3 linked regions of the Astyanax mexicanus genome follow. The protein of the gene in region 1 interacts with the protein of each later gene in a pairwise test. Links are inferred from orthologs where the notes say so. Each region holds a gene or a part of one and is shown in the gene's direction. Other genes may lie near its edges. The genes, in order: efhc2, plod3 and ncdn.

The links.
Region 2: the proteins of efhc2 (region 1) and plod3 interact in binary tests that used the Homo sapiens proteins (3 or more experiments, as listed by UniProt). The link is inferred for Astyanax mexicanus from reciprocal best matches to the Homo sapiens genes EFHC2 and PLOD3.
Region 3: the proteins of efhc2 (region 1) and ncdn interact in binary tests that used the Homo sapiens proteins (3 or more experiments, as listed by UniProt). The two-hybrid records come from large-scale screens. The link is inferred for Astyanax mexicanus from reciprocal best matches to the Homo sapiens genes EFHC2 and NCDN.

The regions. Positions count from the first base shown.
Region 1 is NC_064418.1:5,481,355-5,489,781, forward strand, and holds the start of efhc2 (EF-hand domain-containing family member C2), read left to right. Parts: upstream 1-5,045; 5' UTR 5,046-5,158; coding exon 5,159-5,200; intron 5,201-6,245; exon of another isoform or gene 6,246-6,453; intron 6,454-6,615; coding exon 6,616-6,801; intron 6,802-6,889; coding exon 6,890-7,040; intron 7,041-7,133; coding exon 7,134-7,357; intron 7,358-7,458; coding exon 7,459-7,710; intron 7,711-8,427. Other genes in the region: fundc1 (FUN14 domain-containing protein 1), read left to right, coding at 1,509-1,665, 2,358-2,433, 2,531-2,659, 3,300-3,377. UniProt on the Homo sapiens protein: Microtubule inner protein (MIP) part of the dynein-decorated doublet microtubules (DMTs) in cilia axoneme, which is required for motile cilia beating.
Region 2 is NC_064420.1:26,582,567-26,590,937, reverse strand, and holds the start of plod3 (multifunctional procollagen lysine hydroxylase and glycosyltransferase LH3), read left to right. Parts: upstream 1-5,089; 5' UTR 5,090-5,243; coding exon 5,244-5,310; intron 5,311-6,034; coding exon 6,035-6,126; intron 6,127-6,882; coding exon 6,883-7,019; intron 7,020-8,371. Other genes in the region: asgrl2 (C-type lectin domain family 10 member A), read right to left, coding at 1,000-1,104, 1,221-1,337, 3,031-3,121. UniProt on the Homo sapiens protein: Multifunctional enzyme that catalyzes a series of essential post-translational modifications on Lys residues in procollagen. Plays a redundant role in catalyzing the formation of hydroxylysine residues in -Xaa-Lys-Gly- sequences in collagens.
Region 3 is NC_064410.1:53,436,203-53,444,621, forward strand, and holds the start of ncdn (neurochondrin), read left to right. Parts: upstream 1-5,335; 5' UTR 5,336-5,464; intron 5,465-5,470; exon of another isoform or gene 5,471-5,532; intron 5,533-6,552; 5' UTR 6,553-6,573; coding exon 6,574-6,786; intron 6,787-7,362; coding exon 7,363-8,419. Other genes in the region: zgc:114119 (mediator of RNA polymerase II transcription subunit 30-like), read right to left, coding at 500-595, 1,298-1,387, 2,181-2,339, 3,241-3,507. UniProt on the Homo sapiens protein: Probably involved in signal transduction in the nervous system, via increasing cell surface localization of GRM5/mGluR5 and positively regulating its signaling. Required for the spatial learning process.

The DNA.
Region 1 (8,427 bases):
GATAAACAGCAACACAGCTGCCTAAAACTGCAGTGGAAGATCTCAGTCAGGACATGGCCTCTTTATGAGCTTAATTTTAATTATTTTTTAGTTTTAAAAGCAGCGGTAGGAGTGTAAGAACACACGCTAACCTGCGTCTGTTATTATCACCTGGTCAGCATTCAGCATGACCTGCAGACAGTTCACAGTTAACCTAGCTTAAATTTGTAACTGTGCTTATTTTTGCTTAAATGTTCATAATCAGAAAATCAGAAAATGTGTAGTTCTTTATTTGCTCGTTGTGAAAAAAGTTAGTGCTTGTCTTTACTGTCACTCTTAACTGTCCGGGCCTGAATTCACAAAAAATCCCACAAAAGAAACTTGTCCTTATTTCTGTGCATGTATTTTCTTTTTTAAATGTTATTTCGAATATTTTATTTTTAACCATTTTCTCAATGCAAATTCTAATAAAACAATATGCTTTCATCTTAAACACTGACTGTGAGTTGGTCTGGATTATATGCCCAATTTATTTTAAAATATATTTTTTAATTTCGGTCAATACAAGGCACAGAGTGTTCCATCAGTCTAAAGTGCTGCCACTATTATTGGGAGATCGCTTGTTTGAATCCCTGTCATGCAGCTTGTCATCAGCTGCCAGAGCCCTGAGAGAGTAAAATTGGCCTTGCTCACCCTCCTGTTGTGGCATCACTAGTGATGGGGGATATACAGCCGAGTAGCAGCTAAAAGGGTGGAAAAATTAGGAGAAATGGGAAATATAAAAAAAAAGTACGATAAAATTGATTATTGACATAACCACGTCTCTTTGTGTATGTAATCACATGCTATGGTAAAAAATAATATATTGATAACATTTAAAGGAGAAACCCTGTGAGAACTGGAGACCTACCTCATAGTACTGTGTCTATAAATAGTGTTTTTAATAAACTGCCTGTGCACTTTTAAAGCTTTCAGTGTCTCATTTTAAATGTCAGGACCCTCAGAATTCTACCAATGAAGTATGGAGCAACTTTGAGCTTGTTTATGGTGTAAAAATAGTGGTTTCTTTGCATGGATAAGAAAAGTTTGTACTCTGTATCATGTTTAACTACACTCCAAGTTCGCTTCACACCGAATTTCTGGACCTGTATTTCCAAAATAACCTAAAATAGATTTTTGTTCCTAGAAGTCGTTCCTATTTCTGTATAATATTTTCAAAACAAGGTTCACTTCAAAAACATCAGAAGGTCAGTCTCTAGCGTGGTCCAGTTAAAATAGCTGTTTATTTATGCATAAGGAAAATAGTGGTACACATATTTTACCCAACAGTGTCGTTTTGTTTGAATTTTTTTGTTGAATTTTTTTCTATTTCTTCTTTACTTAATGTTTTTGAGTGCTTGATTTAAATCAGTTTTTTCTCCATTTTGCACATATTGAATTGGATCATGTAAAATGTTATCTTGCATTGTTTATTCTCCCCTATGTTATTCAAAGTCTTTCTAAAACTGTCCTGTTTCATCCATAAATAGAGGCAGAGAGTGAGGATGAATTGTACGAGGTGGTGGATATCACAGACTATGCCAGACGGCATCAGTGGTGGAGTCGAGTCTTTGGGAGCAATACAGGACCTATTGCTGAAAAGTACTCTGTGGCGACGCAGCTCATGATGGGGGGCATGACAGGCTGGTGAGTATAGATAGCTGGATGGAAGTTTGTGTAGTTTCAGATACAACCTCAAATCATTTGATTTATATTGTGGTTTTCTGCAGGCATGCTTTAAATAGAACAATAGAAGAGACTGTCTCTCTTTTTGGTTTGCCTTCTTGTGAAGAAGTCCTTAAGCAGCAGATACATTGTCCTGTCACAGTTTAATATACTGTATGTACACAAAAATTAATTGAGTGTATGAGCATAACTGCAAGTTAAACTTTACATGATATATTTTTGTTTTTGGATAAATTGTCCCAGAAATAATTGGGATAGTTTTCCTGAACTTTGATTAAGCCTAGAAGGAATACTAAGTCCAAAACTAAACTTAATGTCTGTCTAGGAAATTGCCAACTATTATGCCACTCATATGATGTTAATATATTAGCATACTATAGCAATTACACTTTTAATTATTAAGAAATATACTAACATTGAAATTAAAATCTAAAAAAATAATAATTTCCTAAATAAATGAAAGAAAAAGCCAAGAGCAACACACTGTCTCATGCATGTAAATGGGCAGACCCCACTAGATAAAACATAATGTGCAGAAATTATTAAGATTATGTTCATATATTGTACAGTAACGGTGGAATGTAATTATTGTAACAGTCAAATTGCTAAAATAACATCTCTTAAGTCTGTGTATGTTTTTGTGTCTGTTTTAGGTGTGCTGGATATCTCTTTCAGAAGGTTGGGAAAATTGCTGCAACTGCAGTTGGTGGAGGATTCTTATTGTTGCAAGTAAAGACAATGGCACATTTTTAAACAATGCAGAGCTAATTATAGAAATATTTGTCTTTGTTTGCATCAGAATCTTATTGTGAATCCTTTTTTTTAGATTGCCAATCACAGCGGCTATGTGGAGGTCGACTGGAAGAAAGTAAAGAAAGATGTTAATAAAGCGAAAAAGCACCTGAAGAAAAAGGCCAACAAAGCTGCTCCTGAGTTAAATTCCTTTATCGACGAGGTACATTTTCCACTGTTTTATGTAGGATCCAGGTGTACAGTTGGTGTAGGTCCAAAAGTTTGCAGACATCTGTATAAAAAAAAAAAGCTTCCAGATTTTGTTGGAACAGCCACATATGAGCCTAATATTAGAAAAGTGTGTGGAGTGATTGGACTGTGATGTGATTGAGTACTGTAATAGACCTTTGGGATGACTTGGAGCAGTGTTTGTAATCTGGAAATAATCATATAACATCATCATTATCTGTCCTCACTAATATTATTTTGGATGGATGAAATCAAATTCTTACAGAAAGGTTCCCAAGCCTTCCCGGAATAGGCTGTAGCCTATTAACTCTCAATGAATAACCTTTATTTTTTAGACTGAACACTTGATCAGCATGTGTCTACAAACCTACAAACACATAGAGTAGCTTATCTTATATGTGGTTTAATATTGATGCAGTGTTGTTAAAATGCATTTATGTATTGTGGATGCTCAGATAATAATAAAAAGCTGCAGATAATATTTTAGTTTTTTTTTGTTTTTACATTTTAAAAGCTTGTATTTGAAATAGAAATAAGCCATGTCTAAAAACACTAACTGCTTTATAATTTTGTACAATATGTTTGTTTTTCTGAAATCTTGACTTTCTTTACAGTCCACAGAATTTGTCAAGAGAAACATTGTTGTTTCAAGTGGATTCGTTGGAGGATTTCTGCTGGGTCTGGCATCCTAAATTCTGGATGAGTCTGCTGCATAAATGAACTCTGCCAATCCTGAGGCATTGTCCTCAGTGTTTATGTTCAATTGCTGTATCACAGGGGCACAACACTAAAAAAAAAAAAAAAAAAACAGATGGTTTTAAGACAAAGTTTGCACTAGAGGGTTGTGGCAGTGCCTGGACCTGGGTCTCTCTCTCTCTCTGTCTGTACAATGAGGAAAGAAATTTAAATATATCATGAAGTATATTATTAACACTACTTTAAGTTCATTACTGGAATGCTACAACATGTTTATTTTATATATATTGGTCAGTGTTGTTGTTAGCTGGAAAACTTAATGCCTGTACTTTATTAGTTACGTGAGCATATGTTAAAAAAATAGTTCTGTATTAAGCTGTGTATAGTAATTATGTTTTCAGTTATAATTTGCCTTTTTCACAGTGCTTAATTTTATTTTATTTGTATGCCTTTTTCATTTGTTGTTACACAGATGGTTTCTTGTAGTTTTAATTATGTTTGATGTGTTTTATTTATGTACTGTACTGTGCCAACTACTTTACTGGACACTTGAAACTTATATATGTTAACATAAAAGATGATCTCCTAATAAAAGAGGCATTATTTATCCATCTCGTGTTGGATTCACAAGTTTTCTTATTTAAAGTTTCCAAAGAAAACGACAGAACCCGTCAATAGTGTGAGGGACCCTTAGACATTTATGGAATGTTAATGCAGTCATGCAGTCATAACAAAGATAACGACTTGCTGTTGAGTTCAGTATGAGCAGCACAATCTGGACTGTTTTCAGCAGAAGTGTGGGAAGTATCTGTGGTCTACAGAGAAACAGCTACATTTTATAACTTCATTTTCTCAGCAAATGTGAACTTGCCTTGAATGAGAGATCTGGGGATAGATTTGCAAAAGGGTTACTTTAACCCTCTTCTTCTACAAGTGTGTAAGAATTGACAGCCTCTAATACTGCAACGTCTAATTACTAAGCTTGTCACAATAATTATTTTATTGTACAATATATGATCATAACCTCTATTTTTATTGGCCTCAATATTGGCTATTATGTTCACCTTACTAGAAGTAGCCTATTGATGTGAATAGAACATGTTCAAATATTAAAGTCACCATACTGTTACTGATCATCAGTAAATTTTGCATTTTATTTGGAAATCAAGGACCAGAGTCTGGAGGAAGAGCAGAGAGACACACAGTTCCATCTGCTTGAGGTGGTTTGGAGAGACATGTCATCTGCTGGCTTTGATCCACTGTGTTATATCAAGTCTGAAGTCAGTGCAGTTTTGTTTTCCCAGAAAATATTACAGCACTTCCTGCTTCCCTCTGCTACCGACAACTTTTATGGAGATGCGAATTTCATTTTCCAGCAGGACTTGGCACACTGTCCACACTGTCAAAAGTATCAACTGGTCCTATATAATATTCTAATTTTCTGAGACATTGATCATAGTCATAACAATAAAATTAATAAACGCTTAAAATAGATCACTCTGTGTGTAATACATCTATATAATATATGGATTTCACATTTTGAACTGAATTACTGAAACAAAGTAACTTTTCGACGATATTTTATGTTTTTAAGAGCCACTGGTTTAGTATGTGACACTTCAGGAAGACGGATCCGCTCCTCACGTGACCTGCTGTTGCCTAGCAACTCAAGCTTCAAACAGTGAGCCGGAGCTCGCGGGTCTCAGCCGCTGGATGAGGGACTGTTCAGGACTTTTATTAGTTTTATTAGTATTTTCTATCTATTTAGTGTATAAACATGCCTTTACCTCTGCTCCCCGGGAATTCCCTCAACAGAAACGTAAGAAAATATTACTGTAATTATGTATTTAACTAGCTTTATTAGCTAGAGTTAATTCTTGTTTATTCAGTCTGTTAATTAGTTAGTTAGTAGTTAGTTAAGCTAGTTAACGTTAACTAACAAGTTAACGTTAAATAGCTAGCTAGCTAGCTAGCTAATTTGAAGTTTACTGTTTGGAATGATTTCTGAACAATTAAAGTTAGCATTAGCTAGCTTTAGTTATCTCAACGGCTGTGGGATGTAACATTAACTAGCTAAGTTGCTAAAATCTATACTTCTCTGACTATTTTCTTGTTTAAATTCAAATTACTATTGGCTTTCCACTTTTTAAAAAGCAGTTCCACTCCAATTTTAAAATATAATAAAAATACAAACGTTCAAAATGACACTTAAAGGCTTTCTCATAGCTACAGTAACTTACCAGTCTAAAGTTTGGAACCACCTTAAAGGTCTCGTTCCATCCCTTTTTAATTCATTTTAAACAGTCTAGTTGTGGTCTCTAGTATGAATGAATGCCATGTGAGACTTTTTTTTGTGAAAACTTTTTTTTTTTTTTTGTCTATTTAGCCCTGTCTTTTAGTTTCCTTAGAGTACTGTAAGCACCTGGCCGAGAAAGCCCAGCGCAGTGCAAATTGAAAAGCGCTGCAAAAGCACAAAACACATCCATCAAAATTGCAACACAGGCGCAGCAAATAGAAAAACGCGCTGCAAATAGAAAAACGCGCTGCAAATAGAACCACAACACAACGGAAGTGAGTCACAACACAACGGAATTTTCCCGGGGGACCTTAAAAGATGCTGTACCAGCTGTATACAATGGACAATAAGTGGCAAACAAGCTTCTGAAAAGTAAGTTATGTTTATTACCTGTGATTACCACGGTTGTGTGCATATTATTAAAAGTTCTGCTTCACAAAACGCCTTGTTTGCCACTTATTGTCCTTTGTACACACAGTGAAGTCCGAGACGTTACTGAAGACGCAGCTTAGCTGGTACAGCATCTTTTAAGGTCCCCCGGGAAAATTCCGTTGTGTTGTGACTCACTTCCGTTGTGTTGTGGTCCTATTTGCAGCGCGTTTTTCTAGTTGCAGCGCGTTTTTCTAGTTGCAGCGCGTTTTTCTAGTTGCAGCGCGTTTTTCTAGTTGCTGCGCCTGTGTTGTAATTTTGATGGATGTGTTTTGTGCTTTTGCAGCGCTTTTCAATTTGCACTGCGTTGGGCTTTCTCGGCCACCGTAACCTCATACTACTGTGAAGTAAGTAAGTTAGAAGATAACTGTTCTCCAAAAGTAATGGAATTACAGATTTCACACAAATATATACGTATTAGCAGAATTTTTGCATAAATATGAATATTACATATTACATAACTCTTCAGACAGACCCAAGAGCCTAACCTGTTCTTTTTTATTTTATAGCTGGGAAAAGAAAAGTTTCACAAGTCTCAACATTTTGAATACTCAAAAGGAATACCATTAATGGTGGGCGCAAAAAAGCCTGGCATTGGAGGAGAACCGCTGCTCGGCCAGACGGCAAAACCTCAGTACTCATTGTTTCCAAAAGAACAAGGCAGTGGTCCTTCATGGTTAGCCTTCGACAAGCAGGTTTGTGATAAAAGAAAAACTCAAATTTTTATTACCAAGCAAGCTAAATGTACTGTGCGGACACTGGCATTTGTTATTTCTATTGCAGGTGCTTTGCTTTGATGCATATTTCCAAGAACCTATTACTCAGAGCAGAGAGGAAACATACAGAGTCAGAAAGTGCAAAATTTACTACTACTTGGAAAACGACACCATACAGGTTGTGGAGCCAATAATAAAAAACAGTGGCATGCAACACGGTAAAGCTTTCAAGATCTCCTAAGTAGCATAACATGTCTAACATGACAAATTAATAAGGTATGACACTCTCTTTGTTTTTTATCTCTTTCTAGGAACATTGATTTGCCGCCATCGCATTCCTCTCCCGGCTCCTAATGATGACCAGTTTTACAATATACAGCACTTTAATATCAACCAGGAGATTGAGTTCTACTCCAGAACCTACATGATTACAGACTGTGACCCTTTCACACGTAACTTTCTGAGGAAGATGGGGGTACGCATTAATTCCTCTGCTACAGCACCAGCAGATCCTTACACAACACTTCGTCAGGAGGTAAGCCAGTGAGTGGCTTGTGTCTGTAAAACAGATCCCAGCATAAATCATAATCGCGCACTAGCGCATAGCCTTCTAAACCCTGTGTTTTACCTACGCAGCTGGAGGACAGCATGAAGCCACGGCGCCCATATGAGAGGCAAGATACTTTAAAGCAGTTCCTGGAGCACGATCATAATGTCCTGCGATTTTACTGCTACTGGAATGATACCGAGAGCATGTTTGGTGACCCCAGAGAGCTGATCCTGCATTACTTTTTGGCTGATGATACCATAGAAATCCGAGAGGTTCTGTATCCAAACAGTGGGCGGGACACCGCCCCTAAATTTTTGAACAGGAGTAAAATTCCTAAGGTGTGTATAAAGCTGTGATTCTTGTTCTGCTACAGTAAATATTGATTTTTATAGTGTCAAAATGATTATACACATTGAAAGGTATAGGATATATATTAATATCTGTTCTTCCTGGAGCACAAGAAAAGGATTCTCTTGCCACCATGAAATGCTGAAAAGCCTTCTTTCATTTCTTCTGCTTGAATAAGCTTCTCCATCACCTATGCCACAGATTTATCTGGAGTGACGAGGCTGAAAGAGCGCCTGACTTCTATTTTCCCACTAAAGCACTCTTCTTGCTCTCTTTCCTAGTAGCTTTTCAGTTTTAATCCATTATAAAAACAAACTTGTTTAGTTTTTTTTTTTTTAGTTTTTCATCATATACACTCTTAAAGGTTACTAGGAACAATAAATTATTACACATTTAGACTAATATGGACAATATTGAGCTTTTGAGCTAATCATACAAAAGTGCTGTGTAATGCATGTGTAAGGCATGTGTAACGCAACATGTAGAGGTTCCTAATGGTGTCCGTCGATAATCCATTCCTTGCAGCTCAAATATTTGTGGAGATATTGCTGCAGGAGTAGAGTGATAGCATGTCAAATTGCAAGCTCTTGACTCAGCAACAATGTTGGGCAATTGGTTGCAGGATCTTAGTATTTGTTGTTGGGCTGTTGGCCTGTTGACCTGTAATCCACCCTGACCCACAATCTGAGTGGTAATTTGAGCTGCAT
Region 2 (8,371 bases), on another chromosome or scaffold:
TGTATATTTAAAGTAAAGGAAGTGAAGAATTTCATTAAAAGAACACCTCTCCAACTGTTAAGCATGCCGGAGGATCAATAAAGAGGTTAAAAAGAGGATGACTACACAATAGACTACCTCAAAAGGCACAATATAGAGCATATGTTTTGTCCTTTTATGTGGCCCGCGAGAGCTTGAAAGATCTTAGTCTTTAAAAATTACATTTCCCACAATGCATGTCGATTGCATTACCCACAGTTACAGCTTAGATGCAAGGCTGTTGCAGTAAAAAATCTGTGAAATGCTACAGCTGTCACAATTTTTGATTTCATACTAATTAAGCCTCTTTTCAGTGTGTCAATTATTAATTTCTATTAACTTGAATAGTTTGATCCTTGATTGATGGAGTTTGTGGATTTCATAACATGACAAATTAAAAGGATTTATGTTATAACAGAGCAACAAGCAAACATATTTTTTTCCATGCAACTGTAATGTTTTTGTTAAATAAGTAATACATTCTGAGTTATTTATCATTAAAAAGTAGTTACAATCATTTTATACTACATTTGATTACATTTGATTACAAAGCCACATTATGCCAATGTGGCCTTCTGTGAAAATGAGTTTGACACCCCTGATCTAGAGGTTTTGTCCCTCACAATCCCCTAATTTGGGTATCATGAACAACTTTTACAAGGGGTGCTAATAAGTATCATAGAAGTTATCCAAATTGTTTGCTTCTGGGACTTTTCCTTTTTTGTTATTTGGAAAATGTACAGGTAAAAAAGAGTTTTGCTTAAAATACAATGGTAATGTGCCATCTTTAACTTGTGGAGTCTTTTGGAGATCATTTTATCTTCATCTTGCTTTTTGAGGTCACTGTATTTGTGTTTGTGTGTGTGTGTGTGTGTGTGTGTGTGTGTGTGTGTGTGTGTGTGTGTGTGTGTGTGTGTGTGTGTGTGTATGTGTGTGTGTGTGTGTGTTTGTGTGTGTGTGTGTGTGTGTGTGTGTGCTTACCATGCTGGTCTAGGCGATTCATTCTGGCAGTGATTGACATCAAAGTTTGGGTCAAGTTGCTGATTTCTTTTTCAACAGCTGACAACTTCCCGTCCAGATTTACTTCTACAAATACATAAACACACACATACACAACAGACAGAAGTGTGAGAAAGAAAGAGAAAGAGAGAGTGTGTGTGTGTGTGTGTGTGTGTGTGTGTGTGTGTGTGTGTGCTACTCACTGGTCACAGAGATGGCGATGATAAGGCTCAAAGAAATAAAGACTGAAACACCAAACAAACACAAATACCATCGAAACTGACCAGCAGGGGGAACTGCAGTGAACCTGGAGACAGTGTCTGTCAAACACACACACACACACAAACACACACAGATAAACAAATAAACACATAGATACAGTACAGAAAATAGATATGATTCACAATAATCTTCCTTAACAGTATTAACACCAGAAATAAAACAAACACTATCATCCCTGCCAATGACAAAACAACACTGTCATATCAACACTGCAGACCACCAACCAAAACACCAACACTGCATACACAACACTATCATCACAACTAAACACTGAACACACAACTCTATCACCAGCACCACCACCACAAACACCATCAACACTGCAGATGCCACCAACACCAACACTACCAAAACTATCAACTGCACACACATTATCATCAGCACCACCAACACAAACACCATTAACACTGCACACACAAGATTAATAATATAATTTTATTTCTAATTTTTCCCATTTTTCTCCCAAATTTACACGGCCAATTACCCAACCCACTCATTAGGACTCCCCCTATCACTAGTAATGCCACAACACACCAGGAGGGTGAAGACTAACACATGCTTCCTCCGATACATGTGAAGTCAGCCACCGCTCCTTTTCGAGCTGCTGCTGATGCAGCATTGCAGCGCGCTTGGAGGAAAGCACAGCGGCTCGGCTCCGGTACATCAGCTCACAGACGCCCTGTGCTGCAGACATTACCCTAGGAGTGATGTGGGGAGAGAGCACCATGGCAAAGCTGCATGAGCGGGGGTTCGAACCTGCGACCTCCTGCTCATAGTGGCAGCGCCTTAGACCACTGGACCACTCGGCACCCCACACACAAGATTAATAACACTGCACACACAACACCCAGCATCATTAACAGCAACACCACCAACACTGTCATCAGCACCACCAACACAAACACCACTAACACTGCACACACAAGACTATCAACACTGCACACACAACACCCAACATCATTAACAGCAACACCACCAACACAAACACCCAACATCATTAACAGCAACACCACCAACACTGTCATCAGCATCACCAACACAAACATTATCAACACTGCACACTCCAACACCACCATAACACTGCAAACACCATCAATACTAACACCCAACATCATCAGCACCAGCGCCAACACTAACACTAACCTACATTGTCATTATCACCTCCAACACTGCAAACACCATCAACACATATATCAAAACTCAACAACCATCAACTCCACCAGCAACACCACCACTGTCAACACTGCACGCACAACCACCACTATAAACACTGCACACATAACCAGCAGAAACACTAACATCAACAGCACCAACCCTATCAATACCAATACTGCACATATCATCAACACCAACAGCACCAACCCCATCAATACCAACACTGCACATATCAACACTAACCCCATCAACACCAACACCGCACATATCACACCAATACTATCAACCCAATCAATACCAACACTGCACATATCAACACTAGTCCATTGACACCAACACCGCACATATCAACACCAATACTACCAACCCACATCAATACCAACACTGCACATATCATCAACACCAACAGCACCAACCCTATCAATACCAACACTGCACATATCATCAACACCAACAGCACCAACCCTATCAATACCAACACTGCACATATCATCAACACCAACAGCACCAACACTATCAATACCAACACTACACATATCAACACCAACACAATCAACATTGCACACACATACACACTTTTATTCCAGATGGCTTTGGTGTCTGTGTTGTCGAACTCGTCATGGTATTCGTTGCTGTTGGAACTGCTGGCTTCCGTAGCGTCCCTCATGATGCAATCTAAACACACACAGAGTTATATACATATTTAGGACAGTAGCAGCTTCAATCACTGATTTTTTTCATTTGATCACACTGTGAATCTAACATGTTGTGTCTTGGATCGTCACACAAAGTCATGAAACCGGACTGAATCTGTGATTTTCTGTAAAGATCTGGTCTGGGTCCTCCTTTGATTGGACCCAAAGAGAACACCAGAACACCTTCTGAGATCGGACGCAAACAGAACACGGTCAGAGACTGGACATTCAGACAGCAATAGTGGGAAAACAACGTTTTATCCAAATACTGGTATAATTTAGAACACATAACTTACCACTCCAGTAGAACAGATCACAGGGTAGTGTGTGTACCTTGTGGTGGGTACACTGGTATCTGTACTTTGAGCTCTGTGTGTGTGTGTGTGTTGTTGACCATATTTACTCAGTCAAACAAACAGATGAACCTGAGCAGAGTACAGAACCAAAGAGAGAGAGAGAGGGTATTGATTCAGGTACCCAGGCCTCCATACCTTTCTCATAATGACCAGCAAGAAGTGCTTTAGCATCCCCTACTGTCAGGAGTATTTAACTGCATCTGCTAAACTAAAAATTATGCTGTGGAAAAATTGCCAGCAAAGTGTGGAGCCTTGTGAGATTATTTTTTAATAATGCACAGTAATATATTAACACTGTCAGACTATGTAGTTATACAGTAAGACAGTCAGACTGTGTAATGATCCAGATACACAGTCAGACTGTGTAGTAATACAGTAACAATCAGAATATATATCAATCTATTAAACACAGCCAGACTCTACAGTGATACTGTAACACAATAACAATATTTAACATACAATAACATCATTAGATTGTGTAATAATCCTGTAAAATAAATAGACTGTGCAGTTATACTATATTACAGTAAAACAGAATACAGCAGGTCAATTAGACTGTGCAGTAGTACAGTACAGTACATTATTACAATATACATCCAAATTGTGTAATAGTACAGTATTTTAATAACATCATTGGTGCACTAAAAGTAACAATTTGTAATATTATACTAAAAGTTGAAATGTATGTGGTAATATTGCACAGACTGCACAGTGATAATACTGTAAAGTATAGTAACACAGTCAGCCTAACATAAATAATACAGTAAAACACTCAAACTGGAGTAAAAATATAGAAAAGCAGACTGTGCAGTAATAATACAGTAACATAGTCAGACTATGCAAAAAATTCTTTAACAGTCAGTACAGTATTATGTTACTGCACTGTGATGTGTTAATGGAACAGTCAGTAATACTACAGTAACACAGTGATAGTACAGGAACACAGCCAGGTTGTAACACAGTAATAGTACAGTAACACAGTAAAACTGTAACAGTAATATTACAGGAACACAGTCAGACACTGTAACACTGTAAGTTTAAAGTAACACAGTCAGACTGTAACAATACAGGAACACAGCAATAGTACAGTAACACAATCAGACTGTAACACAGCAATAGTACAGTAACAGTCGGACTGAAACACAGTAATAGTACAGTAACACAGTCAAACTATAACACAGTGAAAGTACAGTAATAGAGTCAGACTATATCACAGTAATATTACAGGAACACAGTCAGACTGTAACAGTACAGGAACACAGTGATAGTAGAGTAACACAGTCAGAATGTAACTCAGTGATAGACTATCACTGTGTTACAGTCTGACTGTGTTACTGTACTATCACTGATAGTACAGTAACACAGTCAGACTGTAACACAGTAACGCATCAGCGGAACGTGAGTCTGCTGAAACGTGGCACCGCTGTATTCCGGAACATTCCTCGGCTCTGGAAGGGGCGGGGTTTTTACTCCGAAAAGCTACGAATCCCATTTGTCCGCCGCTGGTTGGTCGGGATGAATCCCTCGGTCTCCCGGTTTGCGGGTCCCGCTCTGTGATTGGCTGAGGAGGCGGAAGTGGGGAGTGTTGCAGGCTGCATTCCTCTCCCGCAGATATTCGCGGAGCTTTAAGCGGAGCAGCGGAGTCGCGCGCGCGCCTGTGCCGGTGTGCTCGGTGTGTGTCTCTGCGGGCTGGTGACGGTAGTTTCGGGGCTGTAGGCTTTTGGGTGTGGAGGTCAGGATGTGGCTCGTGCCGCTGTGGCTGTCCGTGGTGTGCGCGCTGGTGCCGAGGGGCGCGGGGGAAACAGGTAAACAACCAGCGAACTAAACTAACATACTGGGTTTATACTGGGGTATAGGGCGGTGGTAAGGGTGTGTGGTACTGGTGGGCAATGGTGGTCTTACTGACACTCGAATTATCTGTTTATTTCTAACTTTTAATGAAGTAAGTTTTTCAGTTGTCCGTTCCACCTTAAATTGTGCAGCGGTTAGAATCTGCCGCCTGAGGCTAACTGCTGCACCATTTAAGGTGGAATGGAAAGTTCGAGAAAAAAAGAGTTAAATGTGCGAAAAGCTGGCAAATAAACTTAGTTTTTGATACTGATTATAGTTAGAAAATGTAATAGAGCTTGTGTATGTGTACTTGTTTCATATTAGAGACTTTAATTTGTTTAATAAGGCACTGAATCTAATTTTACACTAAGTTAAACCAAATCAATCTGTGTGAGCACAGACCATCAAGCAATAAGGGTTTATTCCCAACAGTGAAACACTTTTCATTAGGCAAAGAACAAGTTTAGGACCCAAATGGTTCCTTAAGTTCTCCTGGTTCTATATATGGAACCATATAAGAACCCCTTTGTTTTCTTTACAGTGTGGGAGTGTGTAAAGAGTGGGGGTTTGCAGTCCTACCTAGACCCTGGGTTCTGTTTATTTTTCCATTTCAATTGAATACTTCAGCCCTTACTACTGAATCAGAGACCCTCACTAACTCTCTCTCTCTCTCATGCTCACACACTTTCACCCTTCCAGATGAGTTGCTGGTGATAACTGCCGCTACAGAAGAGACGGATGGCTTTCACCGGTTTATGCGAACAGCCAGAGAATTCAACTACACTGTGAAGGTTCCCCACCATCAATACATTCATCGTCGCTCTGCTGTGCAAAAGTATTCAACCCCTGCACCAAAAGCTCCACCAGTTTATACACATACAAGTTTTGTGCTAGACTCAGCTAGATGACCCATCCATCCATCCATCCGTTCTTTCTGAGTCATTAACTTTCACTTCCAGTCTTGAAAACAGCTGAGAACCAGTTTGTGCATTACAAAATCAGAATGACTTTATATTACACACTCTCTCACACACACGCACACACACACACACACACACACAAGTTTAGAGAAGTGGGCTTGGGACTAGAAAGTAACTGGTTCAGTTCCATCCTTCATCTATCTGTCTTTCTATCTAGTTTTAACAAGATGCCTCAAGGAAGAGCACACTAACACTCACCTAACACTACCCTAAACTAACATTCCTCAGCAAATACCATCCCAGTTGTGAAACATGGGGGTGGGAGCATTACTGCTGCCATTGTAGCAAGAGGTGCTTCTTCCAAGCCCTTAAGGGGTACTATTGCACACAAACTGTTTTAGTCTTAGTTTTTAGGAAAGTGCTGATGAATAATGAATTAAGAGTTTAAGATAACAAGATTCTGTAAAAAAAAAACACTGTCTGGAACTCCTTAGAGTAAGTCATGATTCAGACGAATCTGAAGACTTTTAAGGGGGTTGAGTATTTTTGCACAGAACTGTATTTATTGGAATTGGGGGAGGAGTGAGGAGGGGGCTGTGTAAACAGTGTGTGTGTGTGTGTGTCCAGGTTCTGGGACTGGGGGAGGAGTGGAGAGGAGGTGATGTTGCTAAAACTGTGGGTGGAGGACAGAAGGTTCGGTGGCTGAAGAAAGAGATGCAGAAACACAAAGACAAACAAAACACCATCATCCTTTTCGTTGACAGGTGAGTGTTGTGTGTATAAGTGGGGTATTTTGGTGTTTATCTGGTATTTTGACCAGGGGTTCCCCAATCTTTACACCCTACTGTAAAAAGGTTACGGAAATCATCTAATTGTTAACAGTCAAAATACTAGTGAACATGTCAGGAAACAAACTGAGAATAAACTACTCTTTAATTAAATGTTTTGTAGTTAACAAAAACATAAAGAAATGTTTATTAAAGAAGGTCTGTAGAACTTTTATAAACAGTAGTTAATTAGTAGCTCCACTGTAGCTCCACTTTGTCAATCTTGCGTTTGTTTTTTTGTTTTTGCTGTTTCTGTCTTAGTCATGTATTTGTAGAAGGTGTAATGCCAGAGGGTCTCATGGGGGAAGCAGACTAAAAACTTTTAACACTGTTAACTGGAAGGCCCTCTCAAGAGTGCATAACTCAGTCCAGTGAGCATTATTAGCACAAAACATCATGCAGTACATATAATATTTTGACAACAACAAAAGTTTAACATAACAGTTGTAAAGCTGAAGAACCTTGTCCAAACAGTTGTTTAAAGTGCTGGATAAATAGTCAGGGAATTCACAGATTGTTGCCACTGGTGCTCGAGAGTTCCACAGTGTTTTAAATGTGGTTGATTCCAGCCCCACCCTTGAATGGTTTTAGGAATCGGATGATTCAGCTGAAAGGGGGCATTTGGTATCAACCCAAAAAAAACATCTTCATCTCTAATTGTGATGGGGATGAAGGTTACATTACATTGATGGCGAAAATGTTACAGACTCTGGGACATATTTTGTTACATTGAATCTTTTTGTGTAATACACACTTGGGTGTTGGAATTATTCAGCTTGGTTTCCATACTAAACAAAGCAGAAATGATCTTATCAGACCTCTCTAAGAATGGGGTGGGTGTGGGCATTTTTTTAGCTTTTTACTTTACTTTTTGAAAAAAAAAAAAAGCCTCAGCTTTCTCTTGCAGTGCTTTTTAGAGTTTTTTCACACCTACAAATCAAGAGCAGAGTCTGCAGGTTCACATTTTTGGTACACTGGATATGTTTGGTTTTAGTTTTGGTTTTACACTGCAGTTTAGTGAGTGGACTTAAGAACTTTGCTACAATGTTTTGTCATCAGCTGCGTGGGCTTCATCTTCCTATACTTGATTTTAATTGTTTTGTAGAATGTTGTCAATTCAGCAAGGTGTCTATCTGTATGTTGTGCCAAATCTTGCCTCCATGCCAGAATTTGACTGCCAGAGTGTAATAGATTAGAGTTCTGATTTCTTCTACAGTTATTGAATGGGTAACAGCAGCCTGCTTCAGCTTCCTGCAATTGGTCAAATGTCTGAAACATCTAGAAAAGTG
Region 3 (8,419 bases), on another chromosome or scaffold:
ACACACAAACAAACACAAGCTCTCCACCTGAGAATATAGCTGCCAGGGTGCAAAAGAGTGATCACATCACACAGTCGACTACACGGGGCCGGGATTCCGCACCGGTGTTCACAAGGGAAATCTGCTCCCCCATTTTTCCCTCTAGCGCTCACACACGATCAGTCCATGTTCTTGGCACTGAATTCGCATTGCTGTTACACGTCCCTGCTAATACAAAACTACACTAGCTCAGTGCTGGAAGGCAAGAGTTATATTATCACAGCCAAGAATAAATGGAGCGAGTTCTCCACCTGAGGCTGAACGAGTCTGTGCTGAGGAATCGAGAGTAAACACCACACAGCATTAACAGTACCAGTCATCTGGAGGAAGTCTGCTGTCCTCAGCTGCCCTGCGAGAGCACCTGACCAAGAGGAAGGAGATTGGACCTCGGAGATTTGTGGGAAAGAAGACTATATCTAAACATACTGGATGGAAGGAAGACAAATGAATGGTGTTCTGGTCATTTGCGCATGGTGAGCATGGCGTTGATGTCCCAAAGAAGGTTCCTCATCTGATCCATCAGCACCTTCATCTCCTGATTCTTCTGCCTCACTTTCTGTGAAGGTCACACAGAAGATATATATATAATCTTAAGTTGAAAAAACGTGATTTAAGGTTTATTTGTGTATTATTACAATATATAAAAGTACATTTTGTAGAGGAAAAGTTGCAAATGTATAAGTTCATTAATAGTAAGGGCAATAAAGATCAAATTATTTATATATTTTTTACAAAGCCAGTGGCATAGCAATGGCAATTTACTAATGGAAACCTTCAACTACTTCTAAAATTTTGAGAATGAGAAAAAGAACATCGGCACAACATAAAATATTTTAGAATTGTAGATAAATTAAAAATTAAAGCATCATTCATAGTCAAGGTCACAAGTATTTAGACTGTTATAATTGTTGTATTTTCCCTCTGTACACCACCCCAAATGAGTTTAAGTGTTTAAAATTCATAGCAGGAGATCAAAACTGTGTTGTAGTGTAGCCTTAGAGTCATGAATAACGAAGCTGAAGCATTACTTTTCAAAACAGAGTTTTCTCTATGTGCCATACATGCTGCATATATTAAATATTAGCCTCAATAAAATATTGAATTTTTTTTTTACTATTAAATTCTTTGATTAAACACTGACTTAAGCAGTTAGCATGTCCTGTGCTGCACACTTTGTCCAGTAGGCTGGCATTACTAACTACACTGTACTCATTCTTTAAAAACATTAATAACTAAAACAATAGTAAGTGGAACAAACCTCTAAAACCTCTTGTCGGTCCTGACTGACTGCAGAACTGCAGGGCTCTACTTTCACTGGAACCACCTCCTCTCCAGCGTACGGCACCAGCTACACATAGACACAGAAACAAAGTTCCATGATATGACAAACATTACTTTCAAAGCAAATGCACCAAACAATGGGTCACACTGAAGAGCTGAGTAACACTGCCATACAATGCCACCTTTGCCACCAGTAAGTTTGTGAAACTTTTGCCCAGCTATAACTGCCCCAACAGTCAGTACATGCTATATTGTTGCTATATTGAGTCCCAAACAGTCCCAAGCAGAAATACCAGCACATGAACTTTACTAAAAGAGCTTCAGAAAATGTGTATGTTTTATGGCCAAGTAGGTGCACATATGCTTAAGGCCAGTATGTGCAATGCCAAGTTTTGAATCTGGGTTAAATTTGTACCAGGAGAAAACAACCTGCCAAACCACACTGTGCCAGCGGTAAAGGTTTGGTGGAATTCAGAGCGTGTGCTCAATCCCTCAGCCCAAGTGAACTGTAAGAATTATGCATTTAAAATTTATTTAAACTAATTTTCAAACCTATTTATATAGCACACAATGAATTTGGTCACGAAAAAACAGCTCTACAAAGATACCAAACAGAATGATGGTGCTCCATCCATTACTTTTGAGATGACCTGGAGAGTTGGAGGTGAGGTGGGACGGAAATCGTATAACTCCTGACCTCACTAACACTCTTTTCAATGAATGCAATCAAAACCTCACAGCAATGCTTTATGTGCTACAACATATGAATACATTTGCTTTATATTTTATTATTTTAGCTATTACTTTATTCATTTACTTTCTAAAACCCATCAGACAATCAACTTGAAAACCAGTCTCACCTCAGTAGGAGACTCCTGAAGGTCAGAGGTCATCTCTACGCAGCGCTCGTAAAGCAGGCGGAGTTTGCGGAAGAGCAGGGTCAGTTGACGCAGGTGCTCTTGCAGTTTGCCAAAGCGGTCCTGATACACTGCCTGACTCTGAGTCACACCATTCGGCAACTACAGCAAACACAGACCAACATCAAGTACTTATAGAGCATACTTACGAAATACAACACAGCTTAAATGTGAACAAGTCCAATACCTCTATTAGGCTATTAAAATTTTTTATTAATATATATTTTTTTTATATTAAACACACATGGCAAATTGATATACTATAAAACGCAATATAATACAAATCTATATTTTTCTCAGATCTTTTTTTTCTTGCTGAATTATAATATAACTTATAGTTCTTAAAATTGTACCTGTAGCCATTTTCCTATGCATACTTTATCCTACTTTCACTCTATTTCTCAGCGGTCAGGACCCCACAGGACCAACATAATGCAGGTATAACTTGGGTTGAAGGTCATTCTCAGCACTGCAGTGACACAGACATGTGGTGGTGGTGTATGAGGTGTTAGTGTGTGTTGTGCTGGTATGTGTGGATCAGACATAGCAGTGCTGCTGGAGTTTTTAAACACCTCACAGTCACTGCTTGACTGAAAATAGTCCACCAACCATAAATATCCAGCCAACCAGGACTAGAGGATGACTAACAGAAACTGTGCTGCAGCAGGTGATGATCTGTCTATCTGGTCCAACGATCCAGCACAACACACACTTACACCATCACCACCATGTCAATCAGTGTCACTGCAATGCTGAGAATAATCAGTAGTGGTCCTGTGAAGTCCTTTTCATTAAAAAAACATATAATGATAAAGCACTTAGTGTAATAAATACAGTGTCTAAAATTACAGACATAGAACATGCTCCTATGTAATCAGCATAGCTGATCTAATGCACAATGAGTGCAGAAACAAGGAGGTGGTTTTAACAAAAAGAAGTTTAATAAAAGAAGTTTATGGCATGAATGTCCTGGTAATTTGTGTTGGAGAAGCTGTTAACACACCTGGGTGGCTCGTGTAATCTGGAAGATCTCCATAGTGCGAGTAACTATGTCCTGAACTGTCTCCTGACCGATCCGACAGAGGAAGACGGGGGATATCTCCCTGAGTCCTCCCTGGTTTGGGCCAATGGGGGGCTGTCCAGGGCCTGAGCCTGGGGTAAGATGAGGGGGCTGCTGCTGCTGCTGCTGCTGCTGCTGCTGCTGTTGTTGTTGAGGGGGCAAAACACCCATTCCTGGGCCGGGACCCTTTTGTGGCAGAGAAGTTGCCATCTGCAAGGAGAGAACAAGACATAGACCTGTCACGATAATTAGAATAACAAACTTTTTTTTAGCAAGAAGAGCAGAACAAATTAAGAAAAGACAGACATATAGACAAGTAGACAGACAGACCTACAGACAGACACTTTATTGATTTTGAAGGAAATTTAGCAGCCAGTAGCAGTTACACAACACAGCACAATAACACAAAACATTGTATTGTTTACAATACACAATACACATCATATTTTCTCTCTCTCTCTCTCTCTCTCTCTCTCTCTCTCTCTCTCTCTCTAACACACACACACACACAATGTATTAGCATTCTAAATAAAACCATTATTTATAATACCATTATTTTACATTTATATTACATTATTATATTACAAAAACTATTAAAATGCTACAGTTATTTAGAAACAGACATCTATATTTAAAATGTGCCACATATCCTAATAAAAAACATTACTAACTGCACTTTCTGTAATTAAATGCAGTTGGTCAGTGTGTTTTTAGCAGCTGACAAAATGATAGATACTCAAATACACTCAGATCTCTGCCTAACAAATTCATTAGAATACGACCCCTACAATAATATCGTTTATTGCAATTAATTTGGGGACAGTATATCGTCCAAAGTTATGCAGTTACAGTGGCAAACCAAGCACGACTGTATAGTGTAGAGTAGCTGAAGACTTAAGGAGAAAAAATAGTTAAATCTATAAACAGAGGCAGTTTAGTAACAGTTACCAGCAGCTGGTTATCTTAGCTAAGCTATGGTTAGGGTCAGTTACTCTCTGGTAAAGAGGGTGAGAACTAGCTGAATCTACACACTAAATGAATGAAAGCTATAAAAAATACTCCACATTATTCTCTGTATAAAACCTCAGAGTCTCTCCAGAACACAGACCTTCACTCACTCTGAACTCCTGCCGGTAAATCAGCGGATTACTCTGATAAACTGAAGCAGCTCCTTCTTCTCTCCGTTCAAACAGCAGCAGCTCCAGCCGCTGATCTCCGTCACTTCCTGCTTCCTGTTCCTTTCTCTCTCCAGTTCCTCGAGAAGGGTAATGCTGCAGACCGGAGCCCCAGTGGGCGTGGCTAAAGGGCGGAGCATGTGTCAATCATTTTCGACTGCAGCCAATCAGATACTACACTTTCGTTCTCAATCACTTTTTATTAATCCAATCCTGAGACAGACCAAGCTGTCCATCATTTTTTTACTGCAGCCAATCACCTTAACAGATCTGTCAAAAGAAGGCGGAAACTGCGGTGCTACCGGTTAAACGTAGCACGATTTAAATTTCTGTACAGCGGTGAAGCTGAATGTGTATAAGTATTTTACAAAATACTACATTAACAGTTTGAACACACACTATTGTAGTTAGTCCTGCCTATATGCCGCTCTTAAACAGAAGTAACTGAATGAAAACGTTAAAAAAGCCCTGACTTATATTTTTAAATCAAAGATTAAAATACTCGTTTTTATGGAATGCGTTTGGCTAATACATTTAACAATTGTTAAAAAACAAATACATAAATAATTAAAAAAAAAAAAAATAATAATAATAATAATAATAATAATAATAATAATAATAATAATAATAATAATAATAATAATAATACGTGAAAAGAAATAATAAATTGTGGCTATTAAATTTAAGAATTAGTTTATATAATAATAATAATAATAATAATAATAATAATAATAATAATAATAATAATAATAATAATAATAATGGCTATTAAATGTAAGAATTGGTTAAATAATAAGAAGATAAAACACATATTATATATTTTTAAGGAAAATATTTAATTTTGTTCGGTTTAATTCAAAACAAATCATTTCAGTGCATCCGTTGAAAATGTATCAGAAACGAGGACAAATTTAGCTTAAGATTTATTTTGAAATTTAAGTGACTTTTAATATGTATTTTGGCGGAAGTCGGTGTTCGGTCGCATGGATAACGTAAGTGATTTGACACGTTCTCCTCGTGTTTTGATGGTTTGATGTTTTGGAATTTCTCGGTCCGGCAGGTTCTAATCTTCTCTTTTACTCATTTAATCAGTTATCTCGGTACAGCGGCGCTGTTTACTGATACGCGCTGTGAGCAGGAAGATCGAGTGAGAGCGCAGTTTAACTAGCTGATCTTATTTAGCTAACCTGGATTAGCTGGGTTACTTCACTTGGTAAAGTGGTTATGTCAGGAAGTTAATGTGGAGAAAGTGTAAATGAATGGTCTTGGTTTAGTAACTAGGTTTAGTACTAATTGGTGGTATAAGGAGGGCCCTCTGTGCTTTCTGTTTGTGTGCATATTCAACAGTATCTCCAGTATTTCTGCTTCCATATGTTTAATTGTTTGCTTCTCGTGTCTAGGCAAATAACTAACGTTAGTAGGTTTTAATGTGGTCGTGAGTTTATTTTACCAATATACAGTACCTGTAAAAGGTTTGGACACACCTCTTTTTATTCAATGTGTTTCCTCTCTTTTCATGTTTTTTGTTTACATTGTTGCTACAATTTGCATTATAGACGTGAAATCTACACAAGTGTAAGTGTTAAACAAACCAGAAATCTATACTATAGATTTTTCTAAGTAGCACATTTATCTTTTAGGAGAGATCTGCGCACACTTGGTATTTTAATCTCAGTGTCTTCATGAGGGAGAGTCACCTGGAATAGTTTTCTCAGCGTCTTGAAGGAGTTTCTGGAGATGATGAACAATATTTGCTGCTTTCCTTTACATTTTTTTTTACAATTTACTACGTCCCTGAATTGTTTTCATGTCTTTAATATTAATCTAAAATGTAGAAAATGCATTAAATTAAAAAAAAAAAAAACTTTAATCGAGAAGGTGTGTCCAAATTTTTGACCGGTCCTGTCTTTGTCAGCCTAGAAACATCATAGTTTTCCCATATTTTCCTATTGTACATGGCATGTCTTAATTTTTGGAGCCAAAAATGTGAGAATTCTAGATTTGCCTAGGCTATCGCCTTTCTGCTTTCTGTAGTGTCCCAATATATGGTCTCACTCATCACATCCTGATATATTTACAGGTATGTTGACCAACACTAAGGATGTCTGAAAGTGAAAGTCCCATCAGCCAGGAGGAGGTATCCTCCCAACATCATTCAAATAGTGAGGAGCAATGCAAAGCAGATGGTTCTTCTACTGCTCCTGAACCTGAAACTAAAGGCCTGTCTGCAGCTCAGCAGGATGTGCTGGAGCGCTGTCTGCACGCGCTCACTCACGCCAAAAACGACAGCCACATCTTGGCAGCTCTTCTTCTGGTAAAGTCATTCTGTCAGCTGTGTAGTGTGAACAAAAATGTTATTTTAAAAGATCTGCTCTGAGACAGTGTTTACATTTTATTACTAATTTTAGTCTGTGCATTAAGTCTGTGCATTAACAATGAACTATGAACATCATTTTGTGCTAAGTTTTAGTTAATCAATGCTCTGCTAACTTATGATGTCATTATTAGTACTGGCTTGGGTACTGTCTATTAACAATTTATTAATTAACGTATCTCATATATTTTCTTGGTAAAAACCTGTATTGTCAGTATTAGTTAGTTTCCTGTTAGTTCTATTTCCCAACATGACAATTATCAACTTTGAAGCATCTGATAAAGTCTTACCTTTCTTAAGGCCTATTACAGTATATAACTGGACGTTTATGAATAGGCAATTTTTTTAAAGTAATGTAAAGTGAGTATTATATGATTCTCTAACAAGCCACTCATTAATAACTTTATTATTAACAATAAATCATAGTTAACTCTTAAAGAAATGTCTTGTGTCCCCTTAGGAATTTTTATTGTTTTTAATCCATGTAATTGTAATTTAAATACATCTTCTCTTTAGATTACTCGATTGTGTCCAGCCAATCAGCTTGACAGGGAGACCCTGCATCGTGTCTTCGAAGCAGTGGGTTTTAACCTCCCTGCACGCCTCCTGGTGACTGCCATCCGGGGGAGTGAGGGCTCTGGACTTCCCCCTGAGGAGCTCCTCTCTCTGGGCACTGCCTTGTTGGCTGCTCTCAGCACAGACCTGGACATGGCCACCCATCCTCAGCTGCTGAGCACCATCCCTCTCCTCCTGGGCCTGCTGGAAAATGGAATAGCAGACAGTCAGAAGCAAACACAGCATAATTCTGCATCTCAAACCAATAATTCTGAGGAATCATGTCCAAATGGAAACTCTACATCATGTGACACAGACACAGAGCACAACACAGGAGAGGATGTTCCAGAAAGTTCCTTAGGTGAAGGTGTAGATGGGGTCCAGCCCCCTGCTTCTAAACTGGATGAGGCATTGGCAGCTGACTGCTACCAGGTTCTGAGCACAGTATGCTCTCTCCCACGTGGCCCTGATCAGCTGCTGTCTCGTGGTGCTGTACCTGCTCTGTGCAGGGCTGTGTTGAAAAAACAGACTCTCAGCCATGAGAAAGGTCTTCCACTTTTGGCTCACCTTCTGTCCAGCAATATTAGGGAGCGGGTGTGGAGCAAACACCAATCAGAACTTCTTTCTCTTCTTGCTACCATCTCCCAGAACTTCAGCCAAGCTCCAAACCAGGATCGCCTGGACTTGTGCTCTTCTGTACCACAGTTCCTCCCTCCTCCAACAGCAGAGCCTCTGACCAAGGAGCTCCAAGATTCAGTGTCCAGTCTGTGGGCATCATTACGTCCACTGGTCCAAGGTAAACTCAGCATAGATCATCTGGGGCCAGTTCTGGTGCTGTCTGCTTGTTTGCTGGACTTGTGTGGCTGGGAGCCGACTGGATCCCCAAAGTTCTGCTGTCTGTTGGTAAATCGGGCATGTGTGGAAGTGAGGATGCTTCTGGAGGAGCCACCAGGTACTCAGCTTTCTGCTCAGCAGCAGAACACACTCACTGCCTGTTACCGCATCATGGAGGCAGCCA